Notamacropus eugenii: one gene and its partners. Each later gene encodes a partner of the first gene's protein in a complex. Links are inferred from orthologs where the notes say so. Each region holds a gene or a part of one and is shown in the gene's direction. Other genes may lie near its edges.

Region 1 (7,925 bases):
TTTGTTCTAGTTCTCTTTCTATCAGTCCAAATGCTCCTCAGTCCCCTTTGCTGGCCCTTCATTCATATCATGCACTCTTAATTGTGTGCCCCCAGTGATGTACTGATAAATATTTAACAATCAGTCCTCTGGGGAGAAGGGGGAGGGGGAAGTATGTCCCCTGGCACACTGTTAAATTTAATCCACTTTAACAACATTTTATCCATCACTTTCTTAAACCCAGACAAAACAATAAATCAAGTCCTAATTTGTAGTGTTTGCTGATTTCCCAGGGGGAAAACTTAACAACAGGCTTTCCTGAGATGGTTTGAGCCAGCTCCTGCACTCCTCTGGGGATCCCCCAAGTGTCTTTCCAGAGCCTCCTCTTTTCACTCCATGCAATCTCACCTGGAGATCTCATCTGCTCCCCATGGGTTCAATTCTCATCTCTTTCATAGCTATGTCCTCTATAGGTAGTTGGGTGGGTGCAATGAATGGAGAAGTGGGCCTAGATACTTCCTGTTTCTCATAATATCCTCTGCTCCTGTCTCCTTTCCTCTATACTGACTATTCCCCCATGTGTTGCCTCAGTTTCCCACCAGGCCCAGCTGAAATCTTATCTCCTGCAGGGTGGGCTTTCCCAGCTCCCCCAGCCACTAGTGCCTTATCTGAGATTACCTTCAATCTACTCTGAATATATCTTAGACACACAAGTTATTCACATGTTGTGTCCCCCACCAGAATTTAAGCTCATTGAGGACAGGAACTGCTTTTTGCCTTTTTTTGTAACCTTGAAGCTTAGCAAGGTGCCTGCCACATGGTAAATACTTTAAAATCCCTGCTGGTGACTTTTATTTCAACATCCCTGAGAGCTCAGCTCTTATCACTATGCTATCACCAGGGCTGAGACCCAAGTGTGTATAAACCAAAACCAAGAGGTCTAAGATAGAAGTGGGAATTTGGAGGCCAGACAGGAAAGTCAAGATCAGGAGGTCAGCACCAGAACAGGGCAGGACACAGTGAATGTTGCTGAAATGTCTATTTTTCTGCCTCAACTCATCCCTACAGATTTTCAGCCTTTCATTATGATGGCACAATGATGGGGGAAGGAAGCTAGCATTTCTTAATCACCTACTCTGTGCCAGGTACGTGGTACATTGGATAGAGTGTTGGGCCCGAAGTCAAATTTCAGATCTGGCCTCAAACACTCCCTAGCTGTGTGACCCTAGATAAGTCACTTCACCCTTCCTCATCTATAAAATGAACTGGAGAAGGAAATGGCAACCAACCTAAGTATCTTTACCAAGAAAACCTAAACGACGTCCTGAAGAGTCAGACATGACTGAACAGCAAGTGAACACACCACCAAAGTGTCCGGCATTGCTAAGGGCTTTACAGTTACTGTATCACTTGATTCTCACCCTTTAAGGTAGGTACTATTATCATCCCCATTTTACAGCTGAGAAAACTGAGGCAGATGCAGGTTAAGTGACATGCCCAGGATCTCACAGCTATTAAGTGACTGGGGGCAGAGCTTCCTGATTCCAGGCTATCCACTGTGACACCTAGCTACCACTTATTACCTGTGTGATCTGAGGTAAGTGACCTTTTTGGGCCTCAGCTATACCTGTAAAATGAGGGTATAGGACAGAATGACTTCTAGGTCCCTTTCCCTCTCTACAGCTATGATCCTATGATTCAATAACTCTTTAAAATGGTGACCTAAAGCACTATGTTGGGAAAGTCCAGCCTGGAACCTCCTAATTAGTCCTAGACCTATTCCCAAGTAGCTTAGTGGGAAGTATAGACAGAGGAAAGAGTTCTTCCTCATTTGCATTCCAAGTCTGTTCCTTGTTACTTCATACGACCTTGGACAAATTTTACCACTATGAGCCTTTTTCTTCATCATTAGGCTGTAAGTTCCTTGAGGATAAGACTGCTTTTTGCCTCTTTGTGGATTCCCAGACCTTAGCCTCTTACATAGTAGGCACTTAATAAATGTTTATTGATTGAAATTGAGGGGTTTGGACCTCCCTTTCAGATCTAAATCAATGAAAATATACAAAGTGTCCCACGGGGCTTTTTGTTGTTCAGTCCTGTTCAGCTCTTTGTGACTCCATTTGGGGTTTTCTTGGCAAAGACACTAGAGTGATTTGCCATTTCTTTCTCCGGCTCATTTTACAGATGAGGAAACTGAAGCCTATTCAAGTGATTTGGGCAACTAGTAAATGGTCTGAGCCTAGATTTGAACTAGGGTCTTCCTGACTCCAGGACTGATGCTCTGTTCGCTTCACCACCTAGCTGCCCCTCCAAGGGTCTTAGTGAAGTTTTTAAGCTTAAAGTAAAAATGAAACTTCACTTTTAAGTTATAGCTTAAAAAAAAAAAAAAGCTTGTATTAAGACTTTGGGGCACCCTGTGTGATCTAACTCCAGAAAGCTGGTCCTTTCACCTTTCACATTCAGTTTGTTTTAATTAATAAACACTATATTGTGGATTGACTCTTCCCCAGAGCTAAGTAAGCTCTGGTCAATGGGGAAGAAAGATTATGATAGTATTATGCTGTATATTACATAATATTATATTAATAATGATCATCACTGTATATTACATAATGTTATATTGATAACGATGGACACGGCATATGACATAATAATGTATTGATAACGATGGACACTGCATATGACATAATGTATTGATAACGATGGACATGGCATATGACATAATGTATTGATAACGATGGACGCTGAATATGACATAATGTATTGATAACGATGGACGCTGCATATGACATAATGTATTGATAACGATGGACATGGCATATGACATAATGTATTGATAACGGTGGACGCTGGGACGCTGCATATGACATAATGTATTGATAACAGTCTCTGCATATGACATAATGTATTGATAACGATGGACGCTGCATATGACATAATGTATTGATAACGATGGACATGGCATATGACATAATGTATTGATAACGATGGACGCTGCATATGACATAATGTATTGATAACGGTCTCTGCATATGACATAATGTATTGATAACGATGGACGCTGCATATGACATAATGTATTGATAACGGTCTCTGCATATGACATAATAGTATATTGATAATGATGGATGCTGCATATGACATAATATATTGATAACGATGGACACTGCATATGACATAATAATGTATTGATAACGATGGACATGGCATATGACATAATGTATTGATAACGATGGACGCTGCATATGACATAATGTATTGATAACGATGGACGCTGCATATGACATAATGTATTGATAACGATGGACATGGCATATGACATAATGTATTGATAACGATGGACGCTGCATATGACATAATGTATTGATAACGATGGACGCTGCATATGACATAATGTATTGATAACGGTCTCTGCATATGACATAATGTATTGATAACGATGGACGCTGCATATGACATAATGTATTGATAACGGTCTCTGCATATGACATAATGTATTGATAACGATGGACGCTGCATATGACATAATGTATTGATAACGATGGACGCTGCATATGACATAATGTATTGATAACGGTCTCTGCATATGACATAATGTATTGATAACGATGGTCTCTGCATATGACATAATGTATTGATAACGATGGACGCTGCATATGACATAATGTATTGATAACGGTCTCTGCATATGACATAATGTATTGATAACGATGGACGCTGCATATGACATAATGTATTGATAACGGTCTCTGCATATGACATAATGTATTGATAACGATGGACGCTGCATATGACATAATGTATTGATAACGATGGACGCTGCATATGACATAATGTATTGATAACGATGGACATGGCATATGACATAATGTATTGATAACGATGGACGCTGCATATGACATAATGTATTGATAACGATGGTCTCTGCATATGACATAATGTATTGATAACGATGGACGCTGCATATGACATAATGTATTGATAACGGTCTCTGCATATGACATAATGTATTGATAACGATGGACATGGTATATGACATAATGTATTGATAACGGTCTCTGCATATGACATAATGTATTGATAACGATGGACGCTGCACATTACACAATACCCTACTAATGCTGAGGACGATCGTAGACGGTGGCCAGCCCTTTGTCTTTCTCATTTCCCTAGTGCTTGTGCCTGGCACACACTAGGTCCTTGATAAGGGTTTCTGAGTGACTGAGCATTTCCGCGGGGCCTCGTTGGAGCTCGGCCAGCCGGGTCCGGGGGTCCGGGGGTCCGGGGTCCGGGGTCCGGGGGTCCGGGGGTCCGGGGTCCGGAGGTCCGGGGTCCGGGGTCCGGGGGTCCAGGGGTCCGGGGTCCGGAGGTCCGGGGTCCGGGGGTCCGGAGGTCCGGGGTCCGGGCTGCGCCCTCCGCCAGGCCCTGTGCCACCGCAGACCTCAGTCTCCCTAAAGGCACAAAAGCCACGTTGGGGCCCCGGCTGCGGGGTCCGGCCGGCCTCGCCCCCCGCGGTGTCGGGGCCCTTAGGAAGGAGGGGGTCGGGTGGACGCGGCTGACCCCCACCCCGAGGGCCTAGGGAAGGAGCCACGTGAGAGCCCGCGGAAGGAAGGCTTGGGGGGCATTTGGCCGCCTGGAGGGCACGGGACCCCAGCAGGTGGGCACCTTAAAGAGATGAACAGAGAGGGGGAGGGGGTGTTGGAGAGAAGCATTGTTTTCTTAAAGCCTTTCCCCAGGGAATCAATTAATAAACAAGTCCGGTTAGTTAAGGGGGGGGCAGGGTGGTAATCTAAAAGTGGTTGGGTTTTTTTGGTAGAGCTTCGATTTACGAATGATTTTACATAGCGAAAAACGAGGCCGACCCCTGCCTGCTCCGGCCCCCACAGAGGCTCCCGGGAAGTAGGGCAAAGAGCGTAGGAGACCAAGGCCGCATGCGCAGCCTGCGTTCTCCGAGTTCAGGCCGGGGCCTGCTGGAGGCAGGGCAGGGAGAAAGGGAGCGGTACGCATGCGTGCGCGTAAAAGTGGAAAGGAGTGGGGGAGCGGCCTGTGAGCGTGCGCACAAGGGGAGGACACGGAGGGCCCCCGGGAGACAGACGAGTGAGGTAGGAAGGGCCCGGCAGGGCTCGGAAGCGCTTAGCCCGCAATCTTGGGGGAGGGAAGAAGGGAGGGAGGGGTGAGGAGATAGAGGGAAGGGTGGGGCGGGAAGTCGGGGGAGTGGGCGGAGCGAAGCGGTGACGCAGCCCGCCGATTACCCAGCCCCCTCCACGGCCCTCCCTGGCACTGACGTGGCTGCCGTCGGGAGCCGCCATCTTGTGGGAGCAAAACCAACGCCTGGAGAGCCGATAAAAAGAAGCAGCGGCAGCCGCTCGCGGGTGAGGAGACGGGAAGCCCGAGGCTCAGGGGCGAGGAGGTAAGGCGAGGCCCCCCTCCGCCACCCCGGGCCCCTGCCCCGCCGCGGCCGTCCTCGGCGCCGGGGCCGGGCGGGGGAGGTGACGGGAGCGGGGCCAGAGCAGGCCAGGCCCGAGGCGGCCGGGCCCAGCCGGGGCGGTCCGCGGCGAGGAAGGCCGCGCTCCGACCGAGGGAGGCCCACGGCGGGGGGGGTTCGTGAGGGGGCGGCCCGGAGCGCGGAGCCTGGGGCCGGGGCGGCGGGGTTGGGGTGGGGCGGGGACCGCGGAGGCCAGAGAGCCGGGTCGGAGAAGCGCCTCCGGTGTGCGAGGCGGCAAGGCCGCGAGAGCCGGGTACGAGCGGGGGCGGGGCGGCGGGTCGTGGGGTGTCTGCGGAGCTTTTGTTAGTATGTTATAGGATCGGGGCGGAAGCGGGGGCCTGGAGGCCCTCGAGGCCCACCCCCGCCGGTTCCCTATGGGGAAACTGAGGCCAGCGGGGGCAGGGTTCGAACTCGGGTCTCCCTCCTCTCACACTCGGCCCCGCCGAGCTTCCTTCGGGCCCCCCTTGGCCCGGGCGGGCCATGTTTAACCGAAGGCCGGAGCCGGCCCGACCCCGAGGCGGACACGAAGCCGTTCTCCGGCCGCCCGCAGGGAGGTTACCGCCGAGAGCCCGAGGCTTTGAGTCATTTTGCGGTGGAGGAAGGAAGGGGGGAGGAGGAGGAGGCATCCCGGTTTCTGTTCCTGGTCGGGTTTGTAATAACGCCTAGCTGTAGGAAATGCCGTGTAGACGGATTCCGACCCCACGCCCCTAAGGTTCGGAGTGAGGGGGTCACGGCTGGGTGCCCCGAGGCCAGCAAGGGAGGTGACTTGCCCAAGGTCACCCGAGGCTGGGGCTCGGACCGACTTCTCCGACTGCCACACCGCCGGCCTTTGTGGAGGAGCGCGGTCGGTCTACACCGAGTGCCGATCCCGGGAGAACGGCGTGCTTGGCCGCCGACGTTGCGATCGGAGGCAGACCTTCGGGGAGCGGGTGTCCAGGCTGCTGTCGGTGGTCGTCGTGGACCTGTGCTCGGTGTCCCTGCCGTAGGGTCAGCCCTTCGGCCAGATGTAGAGAGGGGATGGAGGAACAGTTCCGTCACTGGAGTGACTCCGCTGGGCGCTTGCTGTTGCATAATCCTGGTTGTGAACCGCGTGTAGAAATGTAATTCCGATAATAACTTAATTACACAGCACTTCGTTGTAACTAATTTATTCCGACGGCACCTCGAGCCCGGTCAGAGATTTAAGAGAATTTGTGAAGACTGAGTGATGTTTTAAATAAATTTGGGAGTGATTTTCAGATGCCACTGGAAACAATTCCTAGAATATGTCATCATAGAGTTTTAGACGTAAGAGGATTGGAGTCCACTCTGCCCCTTTTATAAATGAACATTTGGTTGGGGGAGGGAGTTAGGTGACACGCCCAAGGTCATACAGCTAGTTAGTAGGGGGGCTATGGAGATGGAGCAGTTTCCTGGTTACTCTTTTAGAACAATTCCTCAGCAGTTTGTAAAATGCTAATTTTATCCTCATCTTTTCATCAGTGCTTCTAATCAAATATAAAACATAGGATTACACATCTAAGTGACCCGTCCTAGTCTTAGGTATCGTTCTTTGCCTAAACTAAAACTTAAGTATTATGAGAGGATGAATTTGTCAGTTAACTTTAGTTTTTAGTAATAGTCAGTGATTCAAACTGTTAGACCTTGAAGTACCAAGTGTTAGTTGGGGCCAAAGTTAAAAGGAGTTTAATGGTTTAAAAATTAATCACAAGCCTAGTTTGTTTATCTTCACATGTTACTGAAATGTGTTCTCTCCAGTACTTGGGTGATAGACTATGATTTTAGGGAAATATACGGACAAAGCAGTCTATCCATGTAACTCAGCTCACCAGTTACAACCCCCAAGTCTGAAGGTATCTGGCTATCTCAAAAGGATGTCACATAATTCCCCTTGCTTCTGTTCTAAAAAAAAAAAAAAAAGTTTGTTTTGGCATACTCTTAGAAATGTTATTCAGCATTTGAGGGGAGCTGATACTGTTACAACTCTAAAAGATAGGAAATAACTGAAGCAAGATTTATAGTCGGCATGCAAAAAGCAGTTGCCCTACACCCTAACAGTTCTGCATTTTTAATCATGTGATCTAGCCATTCACTTTACCTCTTACCCAACATGACAAGGGCATTCCACACACCCTAGTACCTGCTAACTCGTACTTAAGGTAGGAGTAACTTGGAACAAAGGAAAGTTACAATCTCAACTTTTTCATCTCTGTAAGTGATTAACAATAAATTTTGATTTGGAGGGAGCAGAGTACTTGCAAAAAATGGTTGGCTGTTGTGGTGAGCCTTTTTTAAAAAAAGACAAAAATCAAGCATTTACATTGTGTGCCATTTTGTGTACTGCTGTCTTAGTGTTAGAGGTGTACTTTTGTTTTTATGAGAACCAGATCTGATATTTGCGTTTGCAGGTAGATGGGGGTTTTCCTTTTTTATCCCTTCATTCTTTTGTACTGTTTGACTT
Region 2 (7,476 bases), on another chromosome or scaffold:
TCCTATTCACATTCACAGTTATGATAAAGTGCTTATTTTTCCCCATTCTATTGTCTTAGGCTTTTTCTTCTCTATGCTCTTTGTTTCCCATTTATTTCAAGTTAGAAACCTTTCTTTTTTTTCCCTTTTTAATCTTCTCTTTGCTATCCCTTCTCCATGCTTAGGATTTGTTTTATGACCAATCCCTCTCTTCTTCCCTCGTATATACCCCTTCCCCCTCTTCCTGTTCCTATCTGCGTTTTTGTTTAGTTGAATATATTTCTATACCATATTATTTGTGCATCTATGTGTGTTTTGCTCTTTTTTCATCATTTTAGATGAAAGTAAAATTCAAGTGATTTCTCTTCCCCTTCTCACTCTTTGCATGTTTATATATAGTTCTACTAGTACAACCCAATTATGTGGCAACAAATTCCCCTATCTTTTCTCCTAGTTTTTCCTAATGTATCCTTTCCTCTTCCTTCATTTCCCTTTTTCTTACAGTATTTTCAAAACATAGTAAAACTATCTATAGGTCTTCTGTCTCAATTGACTACCTCTGTGATTCCTTGTGACATCAGGGTTTTGAAAGAACTTTTCGAATACCTTTCCCATTAGAATGTAAACAGTTTATTCTTATAAAGTCCCTTCTGATTGTTCATTTGTAGTTGCATTTTTATTTTTTTATCCCCTATATTTGTATTTCAAAGTTTCTTTTCAATTTTAGTTCTTTCATTGGAAATGTTTGAATGTCCTCTATTTCATCGAAGATCTATTTTTTCCCTTCTATTATTATACTTAATTATGGTTGGTAATTTTTGGTTATAAACCTTTATCTTGTGCCTTTTGCAATACCTCGTTTCATGTTCTCCATTCCTGTCTTGTGATAATTGTTAAATCTTAAGTGGTCCAGACTGTGGTTTCTTGATATTTGATTTTTATTTTGGCTGCTTATAGTGTTTTTCTTCTGTTTGGAAACTCTGGATTTTGGCAATGACATCTCTTGGAATTTTTTTTAAAGTGTCTTTAGATAGGTCATACATAGGTTCTTTTTTTCCCCTCTCATTGCACTCTTATATGTCCTGACAATTTTTCTTTCTTTTTCCCATTCAATTTTATTTTACATTCAGTTTCATATTTTCTCCCTCCCACTCCACTTTCCCTGCCCTTTGAGAATGTAAGAAATATAAAACCAGGCAATTTTTCTTTAATGATTTCTTGAAATGTGATCAGGTAATCTTATGATTCTTAAGTTATCTCTCAATCTGTTTGTGATATGAGATAACTTATATTTCTTCTATTTTTTAATCCTTTGACTTAAAAAAAAAAGAATTCTTGTCCCTTAGAGTCATTAATTTCTATTTTTTCCATTCTGATTTTTAAGTTTGTTATTAGGTAAGTTTTCATCTCTCTTCTGTTAAGCAGATGATCCTATTCCCAAATCTTTCTTCCATATCTCTCATTTCTCTTATAATACCTTTTTTAAATTCTTACATCAGTTTCTCTAAAGAATTCTTGTTGTTCTTATAGGCATACTGTTTTTGTTTCTTTGAATCTTTGATTATAGATGTTTTTAAATTATTCTCTTCTGCCACATTTGCATCTTGGTCATCCTTGGCATCATAAAAGAATTTTATTACTTTTTTTTGTTTACTTATTTTTGTTGCTGAGGCTTCAGCAGTTGAATTCTATGTCTCCAGGGATCAAATCAAATTGAGGATCCTTCCTGTGTTTAGGCCAGACTTTCCCTTTCCTGGGGTTGTGGTTTCAGCTCATGTCTTTTCTTCCATCATAGATACCCACCTTTTCCTTTTTGCCTTGGATCAGCTTTGGTTGAAGTTTGTTCCTTTACATGAGGAGAGAGAAGAAGAAGAGGCCGTTTCTTTACTTCTTAGTTAAATCCAAGGTTGCCTTTCTTTGGTGGAAGAGACCTAGTTGAGACCTGTTCTTTGAGAGGGAGGAGGAGAGAGGAGGAACTTTATTTTTATTTATGTCAGCTAAAGACCTCCCCTACTTTTTTCCTCCCCACCTAAAAACAATGGGAAACCTTTGCAGAGGCTGTTTTTATTTACAAAGGATTTTTTTTTTAAGTTTTTCTTAGAGTAGTGCAGAAAGTCTTTCAGTTTTCTTTCTTACAGCTGAGTACTTCTTCTTCACCTGAAGACTTTTACTTTCATCCCTTAGGGGATCTGGATATTTACTACTCTTCTAAGGGATGAGTTGGTTAATCAGATTGTTTAGTGATAGTATAGAACTGATCTCTACTTTTTTCCTTCTACTTTGACATTTTGGTTTCTTGAATAAAAAAGACATGCCTTTTCTAGAGGTGGCTTGGTAGTGCATTGGACAGAGTGCTGGACTTGGAGTTAGGAAGACCTAATTTCAAATTCTGCTTCAGATATATATATTCACAGACATACATATATACATACACACATATGTATATATATATATATGTATATATATAGGTAGATAGATAGATAGATAGATAGATAGATAGAGTTAGCTGTGTAATCTGCAGACCTGAAGGTGGACTTTTTTCATCTGTAAAATGGGGATAATAACAGCACCTATTTTATAGGTTTGTTGTGTGGATCAAATGAGACAATATATATACATATATGTCACTTTGTAAAGTAAAGGCTATATAAATGGTAGCCATTATTATTAAAGGAGAACATAATGATAATTGGATTCTATTTATCAGAATAAGATGGGGAAATGGAGTAGATGGGGAAATGGGAGGGTGACAGGAGATCCTTTTGGGGTGGCCTTAAGGCAGAAAATGTCCTGGGTGAAGGTGAAGACCAATGGTCCCAAGGAGCACAAATCCCAGTGACTTAGGTCCTCCCAGACATGCCCTCTAGTATTCCAGTTTGGAAGTTAACATTGTCTCAAGCACCTCTCTCTCCTTCCCCCTCTCCCTGTACCCCAATGACTAGCAAAGTGTTTGGCCCATAGATACTTAATAAATGATTGTTGATTAATTGAATAGAAGGAAGCTACAAGGATATTGATTGCCAGTTAGTCAACTAGTGTTTGTTAAGCACCTACCATGTGTCAATGCTAAGTGCTGAGAATGAACAGAAAGGCAAAATCAATCAATTTATCTAAACCTATCTATCTAAACCCTCAAATAGAAGGAACAGATCTCTAACATTTTAAGCTGACCAGCAGTGGTACAGAATGGTTCCAGGTAAAGAACTCGTCATTAGAAGGGCAAAAGAGATGACTCCATCAATAAAAAAAAAATAGAGGAGGCTTCTTGCACTTAGCAGAAAGTTAAAGCAAGAGATGTCTAAGATCCTTTCAACAGGTTCTCTCATTTAGGTTCAGAAACCCTTTTAAGAGGCTTTCTTGCTTTGCCCACTATGTAAGGTTCCATGTTTTCTGTTTGGAATTCAGTTACTACTTCAGTTTCTTCATCCCTAAAATGGGAGGGGGGGTTGGACTAGATGACCTCAGATACCCCTTCCAGTTCTTGAGCTATGATCTTATGACTTAAAAACACCTTTTTCATCTTTTCAATTACTATTTTAAAAATCCCTTCCTTCCCCTGTCACTCCAGACAACCAGGCTGTCTGCCCCTCTCCCCTTTATAAATATTGTTCCATTGGATCCTCACAACAACTCTGGGAGGCGGGTACTTTTATAAAGCTCGTTTTACAGATGAGGAAACTGAGGCAGGCAGAGGTTAAGTGACTTGCCCAGGGTCACCCAGCTAATGAACTCACATCTTTCCCCCTCGGGCTAGGGCCACCTACCTGCCCCACCCCAGAGAGCATGCAGTCTACATCTCTCTTCTGTGTTGCTCATGCAGTATCCGGAGTGGGTGCCATCAGCCTGTGAGCGCCACGAGGACCCGGACTCTGTCTCTTCTAAACTTTCTGTTTTCCCCGGCACTCACTCTGCACGCAGTAGATCCATATTACATGTCAGTTGAATGAATGAATGAGTGAATGAATGGAATGATCCAAAGAAAATGGAAGCATCGGCCATTCAGGTAGCTCCTGCTAGGCTACTGGGCAGCAAGGCAGCCGGCAGCCTGTAGGGGCTGGGTGTTCCAAGGGACGCGTGTCAACGCTCCGCTCCCAGTCTTTTTCACGTTTGTCCCCTTAGCTGTCACTCAGGGAGGGGTGGGCCCGAGAGAAACGGGGGGAGGAGTCTGGAAGGGGCGTGACTATTATTTCTAGGTGACCAGTGAGACAAGTTTCGGAGCTTGAGTAGGTGGGGCTACGCGCCATGGGGCGGGGCCCGCGGAGGAGAATCCAAGGCGGGGCCTGAGCTTGTCAGAGGTTGGAGGGAAGGCCTCTCAGGGCAGAGAGGAGGAGCCAAGGACGTTCCGATTGGGCGGTCCAGGGGTCGCTAAGGAAACGTGGCGCGCGGCCGCTAGGGGGTGGGGGAAGCCGGATTCGGCGTCCTTGGGAACCGGGCGGGTCCAGTCTCGGAGGGAGGCGGAGCCATGAGGGGGCGGGGCCTACGGGAAGCGAAGAGAGGAGGAGGGAGCGGCGAGAGCTGTCAGCTGACCACGCCGCCATCTTGTCCGCCATTTGCAATCTGACTGGAGCGGGAGCACTAAGGGAAGAATCCTGCAGGCAGCGAGCCGGCGCCGGTCCAGCCGCCGCCGCCGTCTCCGCCCGCCCCGTGCTGCCTCCGTCTGGGATGTGACGGCCTCCGGCCCGGCCCCCTGCCCTTCTTCCCTCCCTCGCTTCGGAGCGCCCCCGGCGGCAGGCCCAGCCCGGCGACCCCCTCCCGTCAGCCCTCTCCCTCCGCCCCGGCGCCCCCAGCCCCTGCCCCAGGCCGGCTTCGGCCGCCGCTGCCGCCGCCGCGATGGCGCTGAAGATGGTGAAGGGCAGCATCGACCGCATGTTCGACAAGAACCTGCAGGACCTGGTCCGCGGCATCCGGAACCACAAGGAAGACGAGGTGAGCCTTGCCCCGCGAGCCTGGCCGGGAGGCCCGGGGCCAGGGGCTGCCCCCACGCCCCCAGTGGCACGGCCACGTCGGCTCCTGTCCGGCCGCCGCCTCCCTCCCGCGGCGCTCCGGCTAGCCGGTCTCCGCCCCCGTGGCGGGCGCCTTCCTCATCCCCCCGCCACATTCAAGGCCCTTCTGAATCCGAGTGTGTGTGTGTGTGCCCGTGTGTCCGTGTCCCCGATGCTCTGGTTGGGCATCCCCGATGTCCCCCTTTGTATAATTCGGAGCTCCTCCAGGTTGACCACCTCTGATCTATGCAGTTACTGCACCGTGCATTTATCGAGCGCCTGTTGTGTGCAGGGCGCTGCTCAGAAGTGTGCTCAGGGCTGTGAAATCCTTCCCGGCCCCTCCGAACCCCACCCGTCCTTCCCCCAACGCCCCGGGGTCTTGGATGGTTTCATTTCTACTCTCAGGTCTGGGCAAGGACTCCAGGCGAACCCCGAGCTGAGCCTCACTGGGGGTGCGGGGGACACGGGGAGCCTTTAGGAAGCTCTCCTGCCCGATCTAGTGACCCTCCCCGGGAGCGCTTTCCTGGTCTGCCGCCGGAGAGTTATCCCCGATAATTCAATCAAAGTTGAAATAAGGAAGAAGACGAGGGCCTGCCGCAGTGGGGCCTTGGGAGTGGAAAAGTGGACCTCAAAGAAGCCGAAAATAGGGTGTGGGGAGGAAAAGAGTGCATGTGACTTCAGCCGGCCCTAAACTGAGACCGAGAAGGGGCTTGCACGGCAGGGGCTCAGTAAACATGTGATGGGATGTATGAAAAAAAGTGGCAACAGTATCATTGAATGTATCCACCTTGTAAACTATTCCCGAAGCGTCCTTAAAAGGCAAAACCGTTTTCTGTGCTCTGGATGACTGGTGTCAGTTTGAATATCTCGACATCTAGTCTTACAGGACTGTTATTGAACACTTCAAAAGACTGAGATATTATCATCTTTGCATTTTGTTTGCCTTTCTTGTTTGATTCTCATTTATGAGACAGTTACAAGCCCGGTTACAAATGTTGAGAAACTGTTAGAATCCTGCTATTGTGGTTTTGGGGAAAGGAACTAAGTAAGGATCAGTTTCAGTGGAGTTATTGTTTCTCAAGCACTGTTGTCTGAAATCCTGCCACATTCTGAAAAAGCTCACTGTTGAGGACAGTTCATTTTCCTCTTCTTTACTCAAATTGAGGGGGAAAAAAAACTGGTAAGGAGTAGTCCGGTATCTGCAATAGTTTACAAGATGTGATTTGCTTTTTATGATACCTGCCTATCCTAAGGCTTTTTAGGAAGGGTAAAGATAAGGAACAGGTATTTAATTTCTTGTAGGAATTATTGTTACATGTATAATATTGACAGATAAGGTGGAAATTCCCTTGGGATATGCCACTTTGTTTCCATTTATGTACGCTTTTCTATATTTTGATGTCATTTAGAGAAAAATGAACTGAACTCAAAAGAAACTGGTATTTTTTGCAGCTTGGGTAGAGTCTATATTTTATATCCATGACTGCATTATTTGTTAAGGGACCAGCTGTCTGATGTACTTTAAAAACACCTTCTAACTTTGACTGAATTGAAGGAATATAGTGGGAACATCTCTCCAGAACCCCTTAGGTGCAGCTTACCTGACTGCTTGCCAGCACTCTTCATTGCAGGTTCCCATCTGACACCTGTCAGTTGATTCCAGGAAACGGTACCAGAGTCAAGCACAGTTGGAGAGCTCTTCAGGAAAAAGACTTGTTGAGTCCAGATCCAGCCTAGATCATCTTAGCCTCTTGAACACTAGAGTGGGAGAGAGGGCTAGCTGAGGACAGGATAGGATGGGACTGAGCTGGGAGCTGGGGTGCATGTGCCATCCATTGTCTTGTCGCCACTCTTGATACCTGTCATTTCAGTTGCAGTAGTAAGAACTTCCATGAACTCCTGTTTGTTTTGTCTAACATGGGTGAAGGGAGGGCTTTATCAGTGTTCCATCCTGTACTCCTCCAGCTTCTAAAACAGTGGAAGAACAGGATGCTCTGAACAGTGTTGGCAGCATAGAGTCAAATAACTGGAGGGTATCTTTGAGATCATCTTGTTCAAGTCAAACATCTTAATCTCCTTCCTGCTCATACATCAGTTAAAGCTATGGTTTTGAGTCAGCTGCTCTGTCTCTCTTAAGTCTTCTCTTCTTCAAAATAAACACTCCCAAGTTCCGGGAAATATGAAAATTGCTGAGTTTCACAGATTCTTGAGTTGGTTATTAACTCCCCATCATTAGTCTATGTGCTTTTTGAGTTTTTCTAGCTATGTTTATATTTTTTAATTAATAAAACAAAAGAGTAATGACCCCTCAGTGAAGAAATGCATATTCTGGTATTTGTGATTTAATCATTCCCCTTCCAGACTAATTATAATTAGTAGCTTCGAGTAATGGAGTTTTTGTTTCCAAGCAAACTTAATCGACAGTTAGGTATAGTGAAATTGTTGAGTTGGGGTGCAGGACTGAGTAAAGAAGTAAAGCATATCTATTCATTGAATGATGGACATGACTTTGGGC
Region 3 (8,003 bases), on another chromosome or scaffold:
GGAATTAAGTACTACTTTCTTAGAGGTGGATGAACCATGCTTCTGGTAAATCCTGTGCAGTTCTCATTTTTCATTTAGCAGCTTCTGAATTTCCCCATCATTTTCATCAAACCAGTCTTGGTGTTTGTGAGTGTTCTGACCCAGATGAGCAAATGCAGTGCTGTACACCAAATCTCTGAAAGCTGCCCACTCCTTTTCTGCTCCACTGTTGTCAGCTGTGTGTTGGCTCAACTTTCCCTCCAAGTCAGCAGCAAACTGTTCAAGCTCAGAGAAGACTCTAATTTGTTGACATTAATTCTTCTGGTAGTCCTTTTGCCTTGGAGTCAGCGCTTTTGATGGATGCAAATATTAGCTTGGAAAGGATAAGTCTATGATCAGTCCAGCACTCTGCACCTCTCACTGCCTTTATCACTCTCACATCTTGTCTGTCTCTTCTCCTTATAATCACATAGTCTGTTAGATGCCACTGTTTGCTGTGAGGGCGCATCCATGAAGTTTTATTGTGTTTAGGTAAATGGAAGATAGTGTTAGTGATGAGAAGGTCATGTGATGCACAAGTCTTCAACAGTAAATGACCATTGCTGTTGCTGTTTCCCACTCCATTCCTCCCTAGGACTCCCTGCCAAGTCTGGTAGTCTGAGCCTAATCCAGCATTAACGCCACCCAGAATGATAAGCTTGTCCTCTTTTGGCACATTGATGGTAAGGGTCTTTAGTTCTTCGTAAAATTTTTCTTTGACTTCATCAGGGTTTGTCATGATGGGAGCATAGGCACTGATGATGGTGGCATGATGTTTTCCTGTGAGTGGCAATCACATTGTCATGAGCTTGTCATTCACTCCTTTTGGCAGGCATACCAGTTTGCTGATTTGATTAGTTTTGGTTGCAAAACCCACGCCAGTTTCACAGTGCTCCCCTTCACTGCGCCCACTCCAGAAAAAGGTGTATCCAGTTCCAACCTCAGTAAGCTGGCCTTCATTTGCCAACTTTGTTTCACTCATGGCTGCTATTTGGATGTGATACCTGTTGAGTTCTCTTGCAACAAGAGCAGTTCTTCTTTCAGGTCTGCTGGATTTTGTGTTGTCTGTTGGTGTGCGCATGTTCCATGTGCCAGTGGTGAGTGGAATCATTTTTGCAGATGTTTTCATATATTGTTCTCATCCGCCCATTCCACCAGAGGAAGTCTTCACATGCTTGGGGTAGACACCCCTCTAACTCACCAATGGGTTTGAGAACCCTTGGTTGCCCTCAACCTGGCTTGGCCTATCTGCTGACACGGTTTACCAGGGTGTGGCCGCTGCGCATGCTGTAGTTTCTCGGAGCCATAGGTGAGAGTTGAGTGGAACAGGTGGACACCAAAGGTGGAAAGAGCCCTGAAAAGGGCTCAGCAGCCATCACACCAAAGGTACTGGTCCTCCCTGAACACACCCTACACCCCAGATTCTACACATACATTCTTATTAAACTAACTGTTTAAAGTTATTATTTTTTTTTACCAGTTGTCCATGTCTTTGTATGAATTGTTCTCTTGTTTTTGCTCACTTTACTGAACATTTGTTTTTAATTCTCAGGGTTCTTTGAAATAATCTTTTGTCATTTCTTAGGGCACAATGATATTCCATTTTATTTATATATCACTGTTTATTTAGCCATTCCCTCGTGGACATCCCCTTACTTTTTCTTTTCTTTCCTTTTCTCTTTTTAATTTTCACTTAATGATTAGGAAATTTTTTTTGGCTATTTCCTCTCCATTATCTTCCTTTGTGTATTTCAGTTAAGAATGAGATTCTTTTGCTTCCCACTTCCTCTTTCTTCAGTTTATTACTCTTCTGAATGCACCCCAGTTATAAGAAATAGTAAATTCTACCTCCTTCTTCTTGTGTGTATCAGTGTATCCCTTCTTCCCCTCTAAAAAACCCCCAGAACAGAACCAGTCCACCCCGAGGTCCTTTGTTTTCTTATCTAACTCCCTCAATAATTTTTGAAGAACTAAATAATAATAACAGTAGTAACCCCCAGAAGTGTTTTCTGTGCATCATTTGATTCTCATAACAATCCTGAGAGTTAGGTTCTATTATTATCTCTATTTACAGGTTGGGAAACTGAGGCAAAGAGAAGTTAAGTGACTTCACACTCCAATTAAGTATCTGAAGCAGAGGATTTGAACTTAGACTTTCCCAGGTTCAATCCCTGCACTCTCTGTATTTTTGTCACCTTGTGACCTTTAATGAAGACAGTAAGCTTCTGGAGGGATAAAGATTTCTTTTCTCCCAGAAGAACATTATCCTTTTAGCTTTCCTGAGCCCCTTCCCACTGGCAAAAATGTTACCTGTCTAGGTTTCTTTTGAGTCCTGTGTTCTTGCTAAACTGTGATCTTTTCCTTTAAAGATTTATCCCTTCCTTTTCCTCCCTCCCCTGAGCTTTCCCCTGAGCTTAAGGTGTTCTTGGTTGGAAGCACATGGAATGTTTCTTTTGAAATACCTTATGCCAAGATCTCTTGTTTGTAGTTGAAGGTGTTGAGTCATGTGTGATCTTTTCTGTGGTTGCTTGGTGTTTGAACTGAATTATTACTTTTTTTCTGGATGTTTATAGTATTTTTTTCTTTGACATAGAAGGTCTGAATTTTGTTTGTGGCATTCCTGGGACCTTTCCTTTTGGGATGTCTTTCAGAAAATTATTGAATGAATTTTTTCTGGCCTTACTTTGTCCTCTCTTTCCAAGAGATCTAGGCAGTTTTCAATGATGAATTGTTGAAATACAGCATCTAGGTCTTTTTCCTAAATCATGATTTTCAGTCTGGTGCATCTAAAATTCTCTTTCACAGGTTTTTGACATTTTACATTTTTTCTCAATCTTTTGATTTTGTTGTCTTATTTCTTCTTGTTTCATGAAATTGTTGATTTTTGTTTGGTCTAATCTAGTTTCTAGGAGGTCCATTCTTGGTTAGCATTTACCATTTTCACTTTAAAACTACTTGATGCCTTTCTTGTCCTTTATGTAGTCTTTCTGGTAAATCTATATTTTCCTTTGATTCTCACCTTGCAGATGTAATGGAATTACCCCAGAATCCAACCTAGAAGAAGAAAATATCTCTGAATTTATTATAATGCTTTAATAATGATCTATGTCTTATTTGGTTTACTCATCTTTCCACCCTTAATTCTAGAATAGGGGCTTTGTGCTACGCTCAGCTTCTGTCCCCTTATGTGCTTTTGGGTGGAGTGTTTATCTCTCCTGCTCTCATCAGGGGGTCACCTGGGTTCTTTCTCTTAACTAGGATGTACCCCCTTGCATCTTTGAGGTTGGGAGTGCTGAATGTTCTGGACCCTCTAGGAACCTTGGAGCTCTTGAACTTGGGATGTTGCCATCTGAGTGCTACCATGGCCAGACTGGAAACAAAGTCTATTCTTATCTTTTGGTGTCTGGCTAAACAAATAGTGGCACAGAAATGTAACGGAATAATGCTGTGCCATGAGAAGTGATGAAAATGCAGAATTCAGCATGAGGAGGCGTATGTGGATTGATGCCAGGTGAAGTGAGATCCAAGAAAGGAACATTCACAATGCTTATTGCAGAATAAATAGAAGGATTAAAAAAGGGGGGGTTGTGGTAAACTTAGGAGCATGCTCGTTCCTGGGGAAAAAGAGATGAAAATGCTCATCTCTCTATTTCCTGAGGTTGAGGGTTTAGGGCACAGAACATGTTACGAATCCTGTCAGACTTGGTTGATGTGTTGGTTAGTTTTGTTTCACCACTTTTTCTCTTCCTTATTCTTTGGTAGAAGGTTTGACTCTGGGGAAGAGAGTGGGATGAGGACCGTATAAAAATAAGAGATGTCAATAAAAAGAAGTCATCTGGATGAATGCTCTTTCTCTCCTTTTCATGTTGCCTTTATTGCTGTTTCCTGTGCCTGTGATGCATTCTGCTTCCTCCTCCTACCTCCCTGCCCCCAACTGACTCATGGGATAAACCATCTCATTTCTGTCCTAGCAGTAGTGATTGATCCCTTTCCCATCTGAACTCAAGATGTTGTAATTTTCTTGTGCATTTAACACATTCTGATATGCTCAGTAGTTACTAGTGTAAGTATAACAAGCCAACTAGATTTTAATTTTCTTGAGGACAGGATGAAGTTTCTTTACCTTCATGTAGTACCTTTCGCAGTGGTCAGCATAGAATAGATACTTAAATGTTTGTTGACACTATGGTCACATGCCTCAGCAGAATTGGACAGGGCAGAGAGGCTGTGAGAAATTTGACAGTTATGGTAGAGAAAATCCCCAGAAACACAGAACAGTAAGACTTAATGCTGGAAGGTATCTCAGCAGTGATCTGGGTGAACTCCTTTTGTCCATGAGGAAACGGAGGACAAATATTGACCTCTTTAAGCTCATACAGTTAAGTAAACAGTAGACAGCCAAAGTGAAATTAAAGTCCATAATGTAGGTATGAGCATTAAAATTGTACATAAACCCTTCACTGAATGTAAGTCAGTAGCTGATTTATCAGCAGCTCAGAAACCATGGCATCTGATATATTGGAGAACTCTGTCAGTGATTTCCATCATTCATTGTTTGTCATTGTTTGAAGAAATAAGGGTTGTTAAGAAGACTTGGTGACCTGGTTTATTAAATCTGTTGGGAATAAGATTTGTTTGGGTTCTCTTAACAGATGAAACTAGTTGAATTTGTGGCATTTTGTAACTTGATGTTTGATACATGTATCTTAGTTTTTTGATGCTTTGTTAGGGATACAAAACATTTCCTGTTGTACCACAAAGTGTGGGAGATCAGAAAAAAAGTTGTTTGTTTGTTTTTTTTTTTTAACAAATGGCATATCTGTTTACCTAGGGAAGTTGATAAGAAATTCTATTAAAGGAAAATGAACTTTGAAATTATTCATTATTTTTGGTGGCATTTGCTCAGTGAAGGGAGTGGATATCCTGTGTCTTAGAATTTAATAACCTTTTATAATTAAATTTCTAATGAAACAATCAGCCAATTTCTCCTAACTTGAGATAATGGAAGAAGAATCTTCATTTCTGGGTCATGTTAGTGCAGTATCTTCTACAGTTAAATCTATTTTGGGATTAGCAGAGACCCTCCAAGTTACGCTGAAATCTGAACCAACTGTGGAAGAGAAAGGGCTCATAGATGCTGTTACTGAACCAATTGAATGTCCTTTTATTATTAGGTAAGTGTTTGGACCTTTCTAAATTGTTAAGAGAAGTAGTCTTTCAAAAAGATGATAAAATTGTAACCAGAGATTTTTTGGGTTCTTTTACTTTAAAAAGGGCAAGTGGTGGTTAATGATCAAAGAGTTAAGGACAGTAGGAGAACCTGATTGTCTCCATTACCTTTGATGAGTTCATATCAGAATGTTTTCATGTGCTCGTTTCTTTATAAGATCATTTGTCAAAGTGCTTTAAATGCGATACTTAGGTAAATGCAGAATTTCTAAGTAAATTATGAGGAAGGTTAAAAGAGCAATGAAAGCATTGTATTAGATAATGGAATAAACAGTTCCTAAAGTTGATTATTAGGGTTTTGTTTTTACCCTCTTACATTTCCAACCTTCTCTTCTAAGGGAATGCTTCATTTAGTAATGAGTAATACTAACTGTATGAAAATTCTTAAAGGTGAAAAGCCATTTAAATCTGAATCAGACTTGACCTTCATTTTTGCCTGAAGAAATAAGTAGTGGTTGCATTTCAGGATCACACACACACACACACACACACACACACACACACACAGCTTTTAAAATATGAGGTTAATAAGTTATATATACATTTTTAAAAGCTAGCTACGTCTAATACTTTAACACAATAAAAGATCAACATTTTTTTCATTTTTAACATACTGCATCTGTGAAGAGATCCAGTATTATAAATAGATTGAAAAGTTAGAAATTGGTAATTCATGTATGAAATGTAAATAGAAGAGATTACAGTCTGTTTTTTTGTTTACTCACTGTAAAATGGTTCAAACTACTGAAGTAAAGAACCTGCTTTTTCTGTTCTTCCACCTGGTTCTGTCTCTGTCACCTCTTGTTAACCTCTTAAACCTAGGAATATTTCTTTCTCTGGATGAAAAATTGCTTCCCATCTCCAATCCTTGTTGCCAAATTTTCAGTTTTCCTTCTAGATTCAGATTCAAGTCATCATTTGATTTCACCTTTGAAATTAAGATCATTGTATTATATCTTATGTATTTAGTAGTGATACATATGTATAATGTATATATTTATTATTTCAGCACCTTTGAGGTTATCTTGAATATTGGCGACAGACAAAAGGAATTAAAGAAATTCTTTTCATCCTTAACAGTGACAGTGCATCTCTCTTTACTAAAGTAAATTGAAATTTTATCTTTAAACTAAAGAAATATTGGCTCCAAATTGTGCTTATCACTTAATCTGTGTGTATATTTCATAAATGGGTGATGATTATTTTTGACAAGGACTTTTGGGCTTCAGTTTCCTCATCTGCAAAATGGCGGGGGCCTAGGGAAGATCCAAGATCCCTTCGAATCCTAAGGCCTCGTGATTCTGTTACATGGATTTGTGTTTCCAAGATTTCGTTGTGCTTGATAGAACAAAGTTTTTTAATAGTAACAAGTAGATTAGAACTTGCTTTTTTTTCTTTTTGAAGTATTCGCAGGAGAACAGAATTTGTGTAAACTTTGTTTATTTAGAAAAGGAAGGGTGGTGTTTGGAATCTGAATTTAGACCAGGATATTGACTTTTTTACACTTAAGAATTGTTCTGACTTTATGTAAATTTCTGTGGAAAAGCCTTCTTATAGTAACCTAATTTAAATATTCCGTATAGGATATTCAAAACTGCTGTGGCTAAGTGGCATCCCCTATTTACTCCTCTCTTTTTTTTTTAAGCAGATATTTCATTTCTCAGAGGAGCTCTGCTATTAACTTTGATATTACAATGACGTAAATTCAGTAGCACAGCTAACCTCAGCCACTGGCATAATTTTCTTTTCTGATAAATCTTTTTGCCTCACAGACCAAGTGGATTATAACTTTGTAACCCTGGGCAAGTCCCTTTTTTCTTTGGATTTTCATTTTCTAAATAGAGATGTTCATAGTGTAGAACCAAGTGAGGTAATTAATGGAAGTGCTTTTCAGTGCATCAAAACAGGGTGCACAGTGCAAGGTGAGAGCAGACAGAGGCATTTCTGGGAGAGCCGGCAATAAGCAGTGAGAGTTGAGAGCAAACTAAGAAGGAGAAAAAAGGGACCTGAGTAATGTACTTGTGATTCTTTGAAAGTAGTTACGAAGGGAGGAATTACCTCAGTAAAGGCCGTAGGTATTCATGAATTCAAAGGCTTCTCATTAAGATTTTTTTTGTGTGTGTGGAGTAGGCTGATGTTTTTGTATCCGTGAACTTTGAGCAAATTCGTAGCGTAAACAAGAGGGAATATTTGCATAGGAAATATTTAGTTTGCTTAAAAAAGCATTTCCCTCCCAAACTTTGGGATGATTGGGCCAACATTCATTTGTAGAGAGTGTGCAAGCAAAAAGATAGTTTGAAGTTACATGGAGGTCATCGTTATCAGCTGGTACAAGACATGTATTTCTTTGTCATTTTAAGTTTCTTAGAGTACTCTTGGCGACATTTTAAAAGTTTCTGTTACTCTGTGTACTGGAAAGTAAAACCTGCCTTTTTGAAAAGTGTTTCATAATTCTGACATCTTTTCTCCAAGTCTTCTGAATTAGTGGGATATACAGTAATAACTCTATATGGTGACTTTAGGAGCAATGAAAAATTACAAAGAAAATAGGCATTTTCCTTTCCTGGAGGAACTCATAAAAGAGGATACTTATAAATTAATGTTAGTGGGTACTGCTTTAATATTTCACCCGTGGGAGTTTTCCTTTCCCTGGTATTGTTTATGCCCTTTTGAGGCTGAGCCAGTTGGAACTTCTTAGTGGAACAGCTGTGCTGTTACTTGGTGTGGGATCTACAGGCTCCTTCGGTGTTGTGGGA
Region 4 (7,477 bases), on another chromosome or scaffold:
CCTGACCCCAGGCCTAGCGCCAGCGCTGGAACAGGAATTGATCACCTGGGAAGAGAAACATTCCTCCAGCGCATTGGCAGACATGACTTCAGCGTCTACACTTTGACAGGCGCTAGAGACCTCAAGAAAACCAGGAAGCAGACTCTGGCCTCCATAGGCCCTCTAACCAATGTATTACATATCTCTTCTGCACCTGCTGCATCCCAAGACCAGCACGACCACCCACTATGTGGGAAGCAGCACCTCAACTGAATCCTGAAGAAGGCTGGGTCTGGGGAAGGGGAATGGCAAGATGTCAACAGTCAATAGGCCAGGCTACATAGGTCATGAAGAGGCAGTCACTGAAAGCAGGGCAAGAGCTTGGATTTGGCCCTAGGGACCCCACGGAGTCACTTGAAACTTCTGGAGCAAGGAAATAGCCTTGGGAAGATGAGACTGGGATGGGGGAACCAGATGAGAAGTGCTGAAAGTCTGGGGAGAAGGGGCGTAAGAAATGTTGTAGGACTTGACAGCGAATTAAATGGAGGAGGGAGGACCTGGGGAGGGGGGATGATTGTGGTTCCAAATCCAGGCAGAAATAGTGAGCTTTCATGAACATGTCAGGTTGGAGATGTCCAGGAGGAAGATGGTGACATAAAGCTGGAGCTCAAAAGGAAAGTGGGAACTGCTTCCAAGACACACACACACACACACACACACACACACACACACACAGAGGAAGTGCCCAGGATGGCATTGGGGTGCCTGCAGTGAGAGGGCAGGAGATAGATACATCTCCAGCAGAGACAGAGAAGGAGCAGACAAGCAGGAGGAGAGTGGCCAGCAGGAGAGGGTGGAGACCATTATGGTTGTCCCAAACTGCAAAGAGGTCTTAGAGGTGGGGATGATTTCTATAGTGCTTCACACACATTATCTCCCTCGATACACTCCACAGTAACTTTAGGATGTGGATATCATTGTTGTAGTTGAGGAAACTGAGTCAGGGTGACAGCTGAGAAAAGGCTATCAGGTTTGGCTATTAAGCAGAGATCATTCATAACCTTGGAGAGATCAGTTTCAGTGGAGTGATGAGGTCGGAATTAGCCAGATTGTGAGGGGTTGAGAAGTGAGTGGGAGGTGAGAAAGTGGAGGCACCAATTGTAGACAGCTTTTTCTAGGAGTTTGGCTGAGAAAGGAAGAGACTGAAGTTGGGTTAAGGGGTGGGGACCATCCAAAGGTGCAAGCATCTGGAGGAGATGGGATGAAGGGCACATGTCAAGTGGTTGACCTTGGTGAGGAGAAGAGTCACGTCACTGAGGAGAGACTGGAGCAAAAAAGGAGAGAGGTGGGGGATGATGTCAAGGTAGTTTGAAGCATAGCCAGGTCCTGATTGATGTCAACAGTCAATGCCATGAAGTGGTCCCACACATTTGAATCTAGACTATTCAAAGTTTTGATTGTGTACAGTCTCGTAATTGGTTCTAGCCCAATGGAATTTGAATAATGTGACCATGGAATTCATTGTTTGCACTAATTGGGACGTGGCTGAGTGGCTGTACAAAGTGGGGAAGGAGAGGGAGTTAAAATGGATGGGCTCGATTTTCTCATAAAGCAGGAGTAGAGAAAATGGATGGTGAGGGTAATTCAGGCTTGTGTCCTGGGGCCAGAGGGCGGGGGATTCAAGGGAAGAGGTCCTTTAGACATCAAGGCCATGAAGAGAGGAGAGAGGCCAGAGTAGGAAGAATAGGGAATGATGGAGGGACTGGAGGCTTCAGTGAGGAGGAATAAGGTGAGTAGGGATGAGGCATTTAGGGTTAGAGAGGAGCGATTTGGGGGTTGTAAGTGGAGAGAAGAGGAATATAGACCTTCGAGTTAGGTCTCTAGTGAGAATGACCCTGAGGCTGAGGTGACTGGAAGGGTTGAGGTGGAGCCATCACCAGAAATAAGGAAACCCAGAGGAAGGAAAGAGAATGTGCCCCAGTTTTGCCACATTGGATTTGAGATGCCAGCTACAGAACATCCAAGAGATGTCCCACAGGCAGTTAGGTAGTGATGTGGAATAGGGCCTTGGGAGGGAGATTAGGACCCCGTAGATAGGTAGGTGAGACTTGAACCCATGGGAGCTGAGGAGGTTACCAAGTGAGAGAGTGTTGAGAGAGGAGGGCCTTCGAGAGAGATTTGGGAGGAATCTGGCTGTGGATGAGGATGAAGCAAAAGAAATTGACGACCGCCAGGAAAGAGGCTCTCATGTGTGCTGCCTGTAACACTGAGCTGACAGATCAGATTACAGTGTAATTGGGAATTATTTAACAAAATTAAAAAAACATACAATTGAACAGAGATAATGTTGCTATGTGGTTTTCTAAGTCACTTTGCAGCCCCCAGGGATTCTTCTGTGCAGTTGAATGAGCCCTGGTTCTAGGAGAGTGATTGCTTAAGTCCTCTTTCAGTTCTCTGCCAGTCTTTGATTCTTGGGTCCTGCCAGTAGAGGGAGATGGAGATCAATGAGCCAGGGAGCCCCACTACCAAAGAGCTCCCACCTTCTGGAGGGGAAGGGAGAAGTCTGCAGGGAAAGATCTTGGCAGAGTCAGAGGCCAGGACTCACTAAAGGGAAAAAGGTGGGGCCGGATCCTCCTCTCCTGTAGCTCCCTCCTCATCCTCACTGCTAACTACCCCTTCTGTCTGCCCCATTAGGGGTGGGACCTCGTACTCTGAGGGCATGGCAATTCCCCATCTCAGGCTTAAATGGTCACTGCAGTAGAGAGCTGGTCTGCTGCTCACTGCCCTAGGAACTCTGTCTCTGGAGTTCTCCCTGCTGATCTGCCCCCCTTCCTGGGGATTCCAGGGGATCCCAATGTTGACCCCACCTCCAAAGGAAGGGGTGAGGCATGGAAGGTTGAGGAAAAAGTGAGGGCCAGGGCTGGGAATGTGGTGAGGGGAGGTGGAGGCTGGGTCTGGCCTGGCTCTCTCAACAGACCAGGAAGGGCAAGCAGGGCCAGGGGAGCTGGACTGGAGGGGGAGGGGGGTCTAGATTGGGGTGCAGCACAGAGGTGAAAAAGCTGGCCAGGAAGTTGGTGGAGGCTCATGGGTGGATCTTTTTTTTTTTAATTTGTTTGTTATCAGTTTTTAACAATCACTTCCATAAGTCTTAAATTTTCTCCCCCTCCCTCCCTGAGATGACTTGCAATCTTATATGAGTTCTACACATACATTCTTATTAAACACATTTTCACATTAGTCATGTTCATGGGTGGATTCTGTTTTACTTGAGTTCTGTCTGTCAGTCCATCTGTCTCTCCCTCTCCTCTGCCTTCCGCTCTCTCTTGCTTGGGGGTTTCGGAGTAATGTGGGAGTTTGGTCTTTGGTGGAGGGACCCCAAGGCTAGGCTCAGGGCTTGGGGAAGAAAAGACTTCCCCCGGCTTGGGATGCTCCGAGGCAGCCAGGTGTGGTGGCTGCGGTGATCTTGGTGGTGGTGGTGGTGGTGGTGGTGGTGGTGGTGGTGGCGGCGGCGGCGGCGGGCGGCGGCGGCAGTGGCGGCAGGTGGTGGAGCTGGGCTGGAAATAAGAGCCTGCCTCTGTGACGGGCTGTGGGTAACCCCACCCCCATTGGGGGCCCTCAGGATAGCTGGCTAATTAGCTGAGTCGGACCTCCAGATTAAACACCGATCTCTCCTTCCCTCTGGAGGCATTGATGCTTTGATTCTCAGAGCATCTCTGCCAACTCCTCTGGGGAAACTGAGACCCATTTCCCACCAGCTGCACTGCTCTGAGCCATCACAGCTTCCTTCCCCAAGTAACTTGTCATTATCCTTCAAGACTTTTTGTGCCTGTGTAGCCACCTGTCCTCTGTCCCCTCTGTCTCTCGGATTGGCCCCTCCGGCTGCCCACGGTTTCGTCCTCTTTTCCCACCAGTTCCACGGTGGGGGGGACTCACCTTGTGCCCTCCCTTCAGCTTCTACCTCCATTAAATTATAAGCCTCTTGAGCGTTGGAATTGTGTTTTTATTTGTATTTTAGGTACCCCTCGAAGCGATCGCAGTGCCTGGCACTGGCACGCAGTGCGTGCTAACACGTTTCTTGACCGACTCATTGGCTAAGGTCCCACCCCGCACTTGGTACTTCGGAAGGGCACTCTTGGCGGGCCTGAGCAAAGGCCAGGTGGCGGAGTGGGCGCTTTATCCCCGTTTTCAATCCAGTTGTCCCAGGCTGCCCAATCTGCCCCCCCCCCCTCCCCTTCTCACCTGTCCAGGATCCCAAGACCCAGCCCGGAAGCCCGGGTCGAAGGAAGGGGAAGACCGGAGGGGTGCATCTGGGCACCCCCGCACCCCCCATCCCCGGCCCGCTCAACTTTGCTTCCCCTCCAGTCCCGTGGCCGAGTTGGGGAGGGATCCGTGCAACCGAGCCTGAGGGAGGAGGCAACGGAGGGCTCAGGGAGACCCACGAGGGGGAGGAGCAGGGCCGGCGGTGGGCGGGCCCCGGAAGCTCTGCCGAGGGGGAGCGCCGCCCCACTCATCGGGCCCCGGGCGCGGCGTCCAGCGCTCTGGGCAGGCCCGGAGGAGGGATGGACTGATGGACGGAGGAGGGCCGAGAAGGCGGCCAGGGGGCGGAGCCAGCGCCAGGGGGCGGGCCCAGGGGCGGACTCGGTCGGGGCACTGCGCAGTGACTCCGCAGCGGATCCGGAGCCGGAGCCCGAAGCCGAGCCGGGAGCTCCGCGGCGCCGATCCCTCGCCCGGTCCTCCTTTCCTCCTTGCCCCCCCGGCCCAGGCCCGGCTGCCGGCCCCCCGCCGCCCCCCCGGCCTCCGTCCCCCCCTCCCCGGGCCCGCAGCCCCCGTGCGCGCCCGCGGCCCCCGGCGGCCCCCTCCCCCTGGGCCGGCCCCAGCGCCAGCGCCGGGCCCTGGGGGGGGAGGACAGCGAGGAGGAGGAGGCCGAGGCGGCTGCCTCTGGGGGCTGTGGCGCGGGGCCCCCATGGACGAGTCGGGGGGCGGCGCGGGGGGGGCCGCCGGGGAGAGCCCCAGCCGCGCCGTGGAATACCTCCTGGAGCTGAACAACATCATCGAGGGCCAGCAGCAGCTGCTGGAGACGCAGCGGAGGCGCATCGAGGAGCTGGAGGGCCAAGTGGACCGCCTGAGCCGGGAGAACCGAGACCTGCGCGCCGGCGCGGCGGCCGCGGCCGGAGCGGGGCCGCTGCAGGCCCGGGAGAGCCCCTACCAGAACCTGCGGGACACCCAGCGCCTGCACCTGCGTCGCGAGCCTCGCCTGGGCCCCCCGCCCCGGGCCCCGCCGCCCTCCGCGGCCAAGGCGCCCTACGCGGCCCGGGGCGAGCCCCAGAGGGACGGGCCGTTCGGGGGCGCCCCCTGCCACCTGCACCACGAGCGCGCGGGCCGGGACTGCCCCGGCGGGCGCCACCGCCCCTGCGAGGAGCCCTCTCCGTACCCGGGAGCGGGGGGCGGCGGGGCCCGGGGGGAGCAGCCTCCCCCGCCGCCGCAGCCCCCCCAGGCGCCGCAGCCGCAGCCCCCCCAGGCGCCGCAGCCCCCCCAGGCGCAGCCGCCGCCGCAGCCGCCGCCGCAGCAGCAGCCCCCGCAACCGCCCCGGGGCCAGATGAGCCGCGGGGCCTCCAGGAGCTCCAGTCCGGGGGCGGGCGGGGGCCACAGCACCAGCGGAAGCACGAGCCCGGCCACGACGCTTCGGAGAAAGTAAGGCAGGCCGGCGGAGTCGGGGCTGGGTGCGGGGCTCCCGTGCGGGGCTGGGGGGTGCGGGGGACAGGGCTGTGCCTGCGCGCACGTGGGAGCTGGCCCCGATTCAGCCCGGGACCCGAGGATCACACAGGCATGCGGGGAGGCCGATGGATTGGGGGCCTTGCTCCTCTGGTGGCCTTGGCCCCTAGGCACTGATCCCCGAAGCCTCCTCCCCCCTCCTTTTGCCCAGCCCCGTTTGGCTGGAGTCAGGAAACCTGCTGCTTACTCCCTTGGTGCCTTTGGGCAAGTTACTTTCCCTTTCCGAGCCTCAGTTTCCATGTCTGGAAGATGAGGGGATTGGATGTCATGCCTCTGAGGTCCCTTTCGGTTCTCGATCTAAGCGTCTGTGACCCTAAGAGGGAGGCTGAGCCCTCAGCTCTGAGCCCCATGGCCCTCTTCCTGCCCCCAGCCCCGGAGGAGGGGCTGCAGAGGATCGGAAACTGCCCACCCTCACCCACTCCTCTCCGGAGCCCATGTCTCCCTTCTGCTAAGAGATTAGGAGACACTCTGGGTCGATTTGCAAATTTCCTCCTTTGCTGGGAGTAGGGGAGATGGCTTCTGGGGATGGGCAGCCCTGGCTATGGTCCCTCTAGGGCCTTCTCCATCTGGCCTGGCAGCAGCCAAAGATAGTATGTGTTTGGGGCCTCTCGACCTCAACTTTCTGTCTTTGCTCTGTGTGTCTCTGGTTGTATTGGTCTGTCTATCTGATACTGAGTGCAAGGAAGGTTATGGCAGCTGAGCTCACATGGGTTCTTAGAGGTCACTGCCCAAGACAGGTATGTCTTGGTGGAAAAGCAGGGGATGTGTTAATGTGCTGACGGGAGAGTAAAAATAAGAAAGGCTGGGGGTGGGGGGCTTTTCTGGAGCTTCCCACACAAGCTGGTGCCCTAGCTCCCTCAGCTCTGGCTCTTAGGGGCTCTTTGAGCTTGGGTCAGCTTCTTGGTTTGCCCTGCCAGTCAGGCTGGGGAGGGGGACCCTAAACCCTGGAGGGCTTCCTTGGTCTTCTCCCAGTCTGCCTTGCCTGACTTCCCTCTTTCTCCCCAGAGCAGGGCTGGGGGTCAGGAAGCCTTGTGTCTTGGGGAAATCTACCTGCCATTTCAACGCTAGCCCAAGAGGCTTGGGTGGCAGCTCTGGGGTTTACGGGACAATAGGGTCCCCAGTCCTATCAAGGAAAAGGAAGGGAATAGTTCCACTGTCCTCCGCACTGGTCAAGCCCTTGCTTGAGGACTGCATCCAATATCGAGAGGAAGCCACCTTTTTTTGCTTTTGCATTTTCTAGGTTTTATTAAAAATGCATGTTGATTTTGACTGTACATTGTGCCCACAGTCCCCTCTCTTAGAAAGGAAAAACAAAGACACCTGGTCTGACAGAGTGTGGAACAGTCAGAGGGCTGTTGTGAGCCCTCCTGTCTTTTTCTTCTTTCCTGTTGTCGATTATTGTATAGCCCTGTGCAATTCCGATTGGGGTTCCTGGGTATGTTAGCCATAGAAATGCTGGTTACACAGTGATGATGGTGACGATGGGATCTCTTCGTGGTTGCTCAGTTCATACAAGTCTTCCCAACCTTGCTCAGAATTTCTCATATCATTGTTTCTTGTTGGCGCAACATTGGATTACCTTCACAGGCTTCACACTTTTGTCTGGCCATTCCCCGGTGATCACAGAAAGGGCTAGTATGAATACTTGGATCCATCTCGGGCCTCTCTTTCTGGCTTTGGCCTCCTTGGGATAAATGCCTGGCAGTGACATTGCTAGAAGAGGGGA

What was found.
Region 2: the proteins of ARF1 (region 1) and AP3D1 are in contact, whole or in part, in a cryo-EM structure (PDB 9C5B), measured with the Homo sapiens proteins. The link is inferred for Notamacropus eugenii from reciprocal best matches to the Homo sapiens genes ARF1 and AP3D1. Residues at the interface, in NP_001019397.1 of Homo sapiens: Tyr35, Ile46, Pro47, Thr48, Ile49, Gly50, Phe51, Asn52, Val53, Glu54, Trp66, Lys73, Ile74, Leu77, His80, Tyr81, Gln83, Asn84; in NP_003929.4 of Homo sapiens: Lys48, Asp50, Phe77, Ile80, Glu81, Ser84, Asp107, Met110, Leu111, Thr112, Thr113, Asn114, Gln115, Arg117, Lys118.
Region 3: the proteins of ARF1 (region 1) and AP3B1 are in contact, whole or in part, in a cryo-EM structure (PDB 9C5B), measured with the Homo sapiens proteins. The link is inferred for Notamacropus eugenii from reciprocal best matches to the Homo sapiens genes ARF1 and AP3B1. Residues at the interface, in NP_001019397.1 of Homo sapiens: Glu17, Arg19, Tyr35, Ile46, Pro47, Thr48, Ile49, Gly50, Phe51, Asn52, Val53, Glu54, Lys73, Ile74, Leu77, His80, Tyr81, Asn84; in NP_003655.3 of Homo sapiens: Glu52, Asn54, Pro81, Val84, Lys85, Val87, Ala88, Asp111, Leu112, Leu114, Leu115, Ile117, Ser118, Thr119, Gln121, Arg122.
Region 4: the proteins of ARF1 (region 1) and IQSEC2 are in contact, whole or in part, in a crystal structure (PDB 6FAE), measured with the Homo sapiens proteins. The link is inferred for Notamacropus eugenii from reciprocal best matches to the Homo sapiens genes ARF1 and IQSEC2. Residues at the interface, in NP_001019397.1 of Homo sapiens: Arg19, Gly24, Leu25, Asp26, Ala27, Lys30, Thr31, Ile46, Pro47, Thr48, Ile49, Gly50, Phe51, Asn52, Val53, Glu54, Thr55, Thr64, Trp66, Asp67, Val68, Gly69, Gly70, Gln71, Lys73, Ile74, Pro76, Leu77, Trp78, His80; in NP_001104595.1 of Homo sapiens: Arg810, Gln811, Gln841, Arg845, Val846, Gln847, Gly848, Glu849, Ala850, Gln851, Val853, Glu854, Glu858, Asp879, Phe882, Ile883, Phe886, Ala887, Ile889, Leu890, Asn892, Thr893, Asp894, Tyr896, Ser897, Pro898, Ser899, Val900, Arg904, Met906.

What each region holds. Positions count from the first base shown.
Region 1 is NC_092872.1:9,976,044-9,983,968, reverse strand, and holds the start of ARF1 (ADP-ribosylation factor 1), read left to right. Parts: upstream 1-4,923; 5' UTR 4,924-5,081; intron 5,082-5,235; exon of another isoform or gene 5,236-5,389; intron 5,390-6,469; exon of another isoform or gene 6,470-6,564; intron 6,565-7,925. UniProt on the Homo sapiens protein: Small GTPase involved in protein trafficking between different compartments. Modulates vesicle budding and uncoating within the Golgi complex. In its GTP-bound form, triggers the recruitment of coatomer proteins to the Golgi membrane.
Region 2 is NC_092875.1:64,317,981-64,325,456, forward strand, and holds the start of AP3D1 (AP-3 complex subunit delta-1), read left to right. Parts: upstream 1-4,467; 5' UTR 4,468-4,809; coding exon 4,810-4,905; intron 4,906-7,476. UniProt on the Homo sapiens protein: Part of the AP-3 complex, an adaptor-related complex which is not clathrin-associated. The complex is associated with the Golgi region as well as more peripheral structures.
Region 3 is NC_092875.1:472,068,143-472,076,145, reverse strand, and holds the start of AP3B1 (AP-3 complex subunit beta-1), read left to right. Parts: upstream 1-4,993; 5' UTR 4,994-5,019; coding exon 5,020-5,192; intron 5,193-8,003. UniProt on the Homo sapiens protein: Subunit of non-clathrin- and clathrin-associated adaptor protein complex 3 (AP-3) that plays a role in protein sorting in the late-Golgi/trans-Golgi network (TGN) and/or endosomes.
Region 4 is NC_092879.1:102,346,693-102,354,169, reverse strand, and holds the start of IQSEC2 (IQ motif and SEC7 domain-containing protein 2), read left to right. Parts: upstream 1-4,474; 5' UTR 4,475-4,546; coding exon 4,547-5,670; intron 5,671-7,477. UniProt on the Homo sapiens protein: Is a guanine nucleotide exchange factor for the ARF GTP-binding proteins.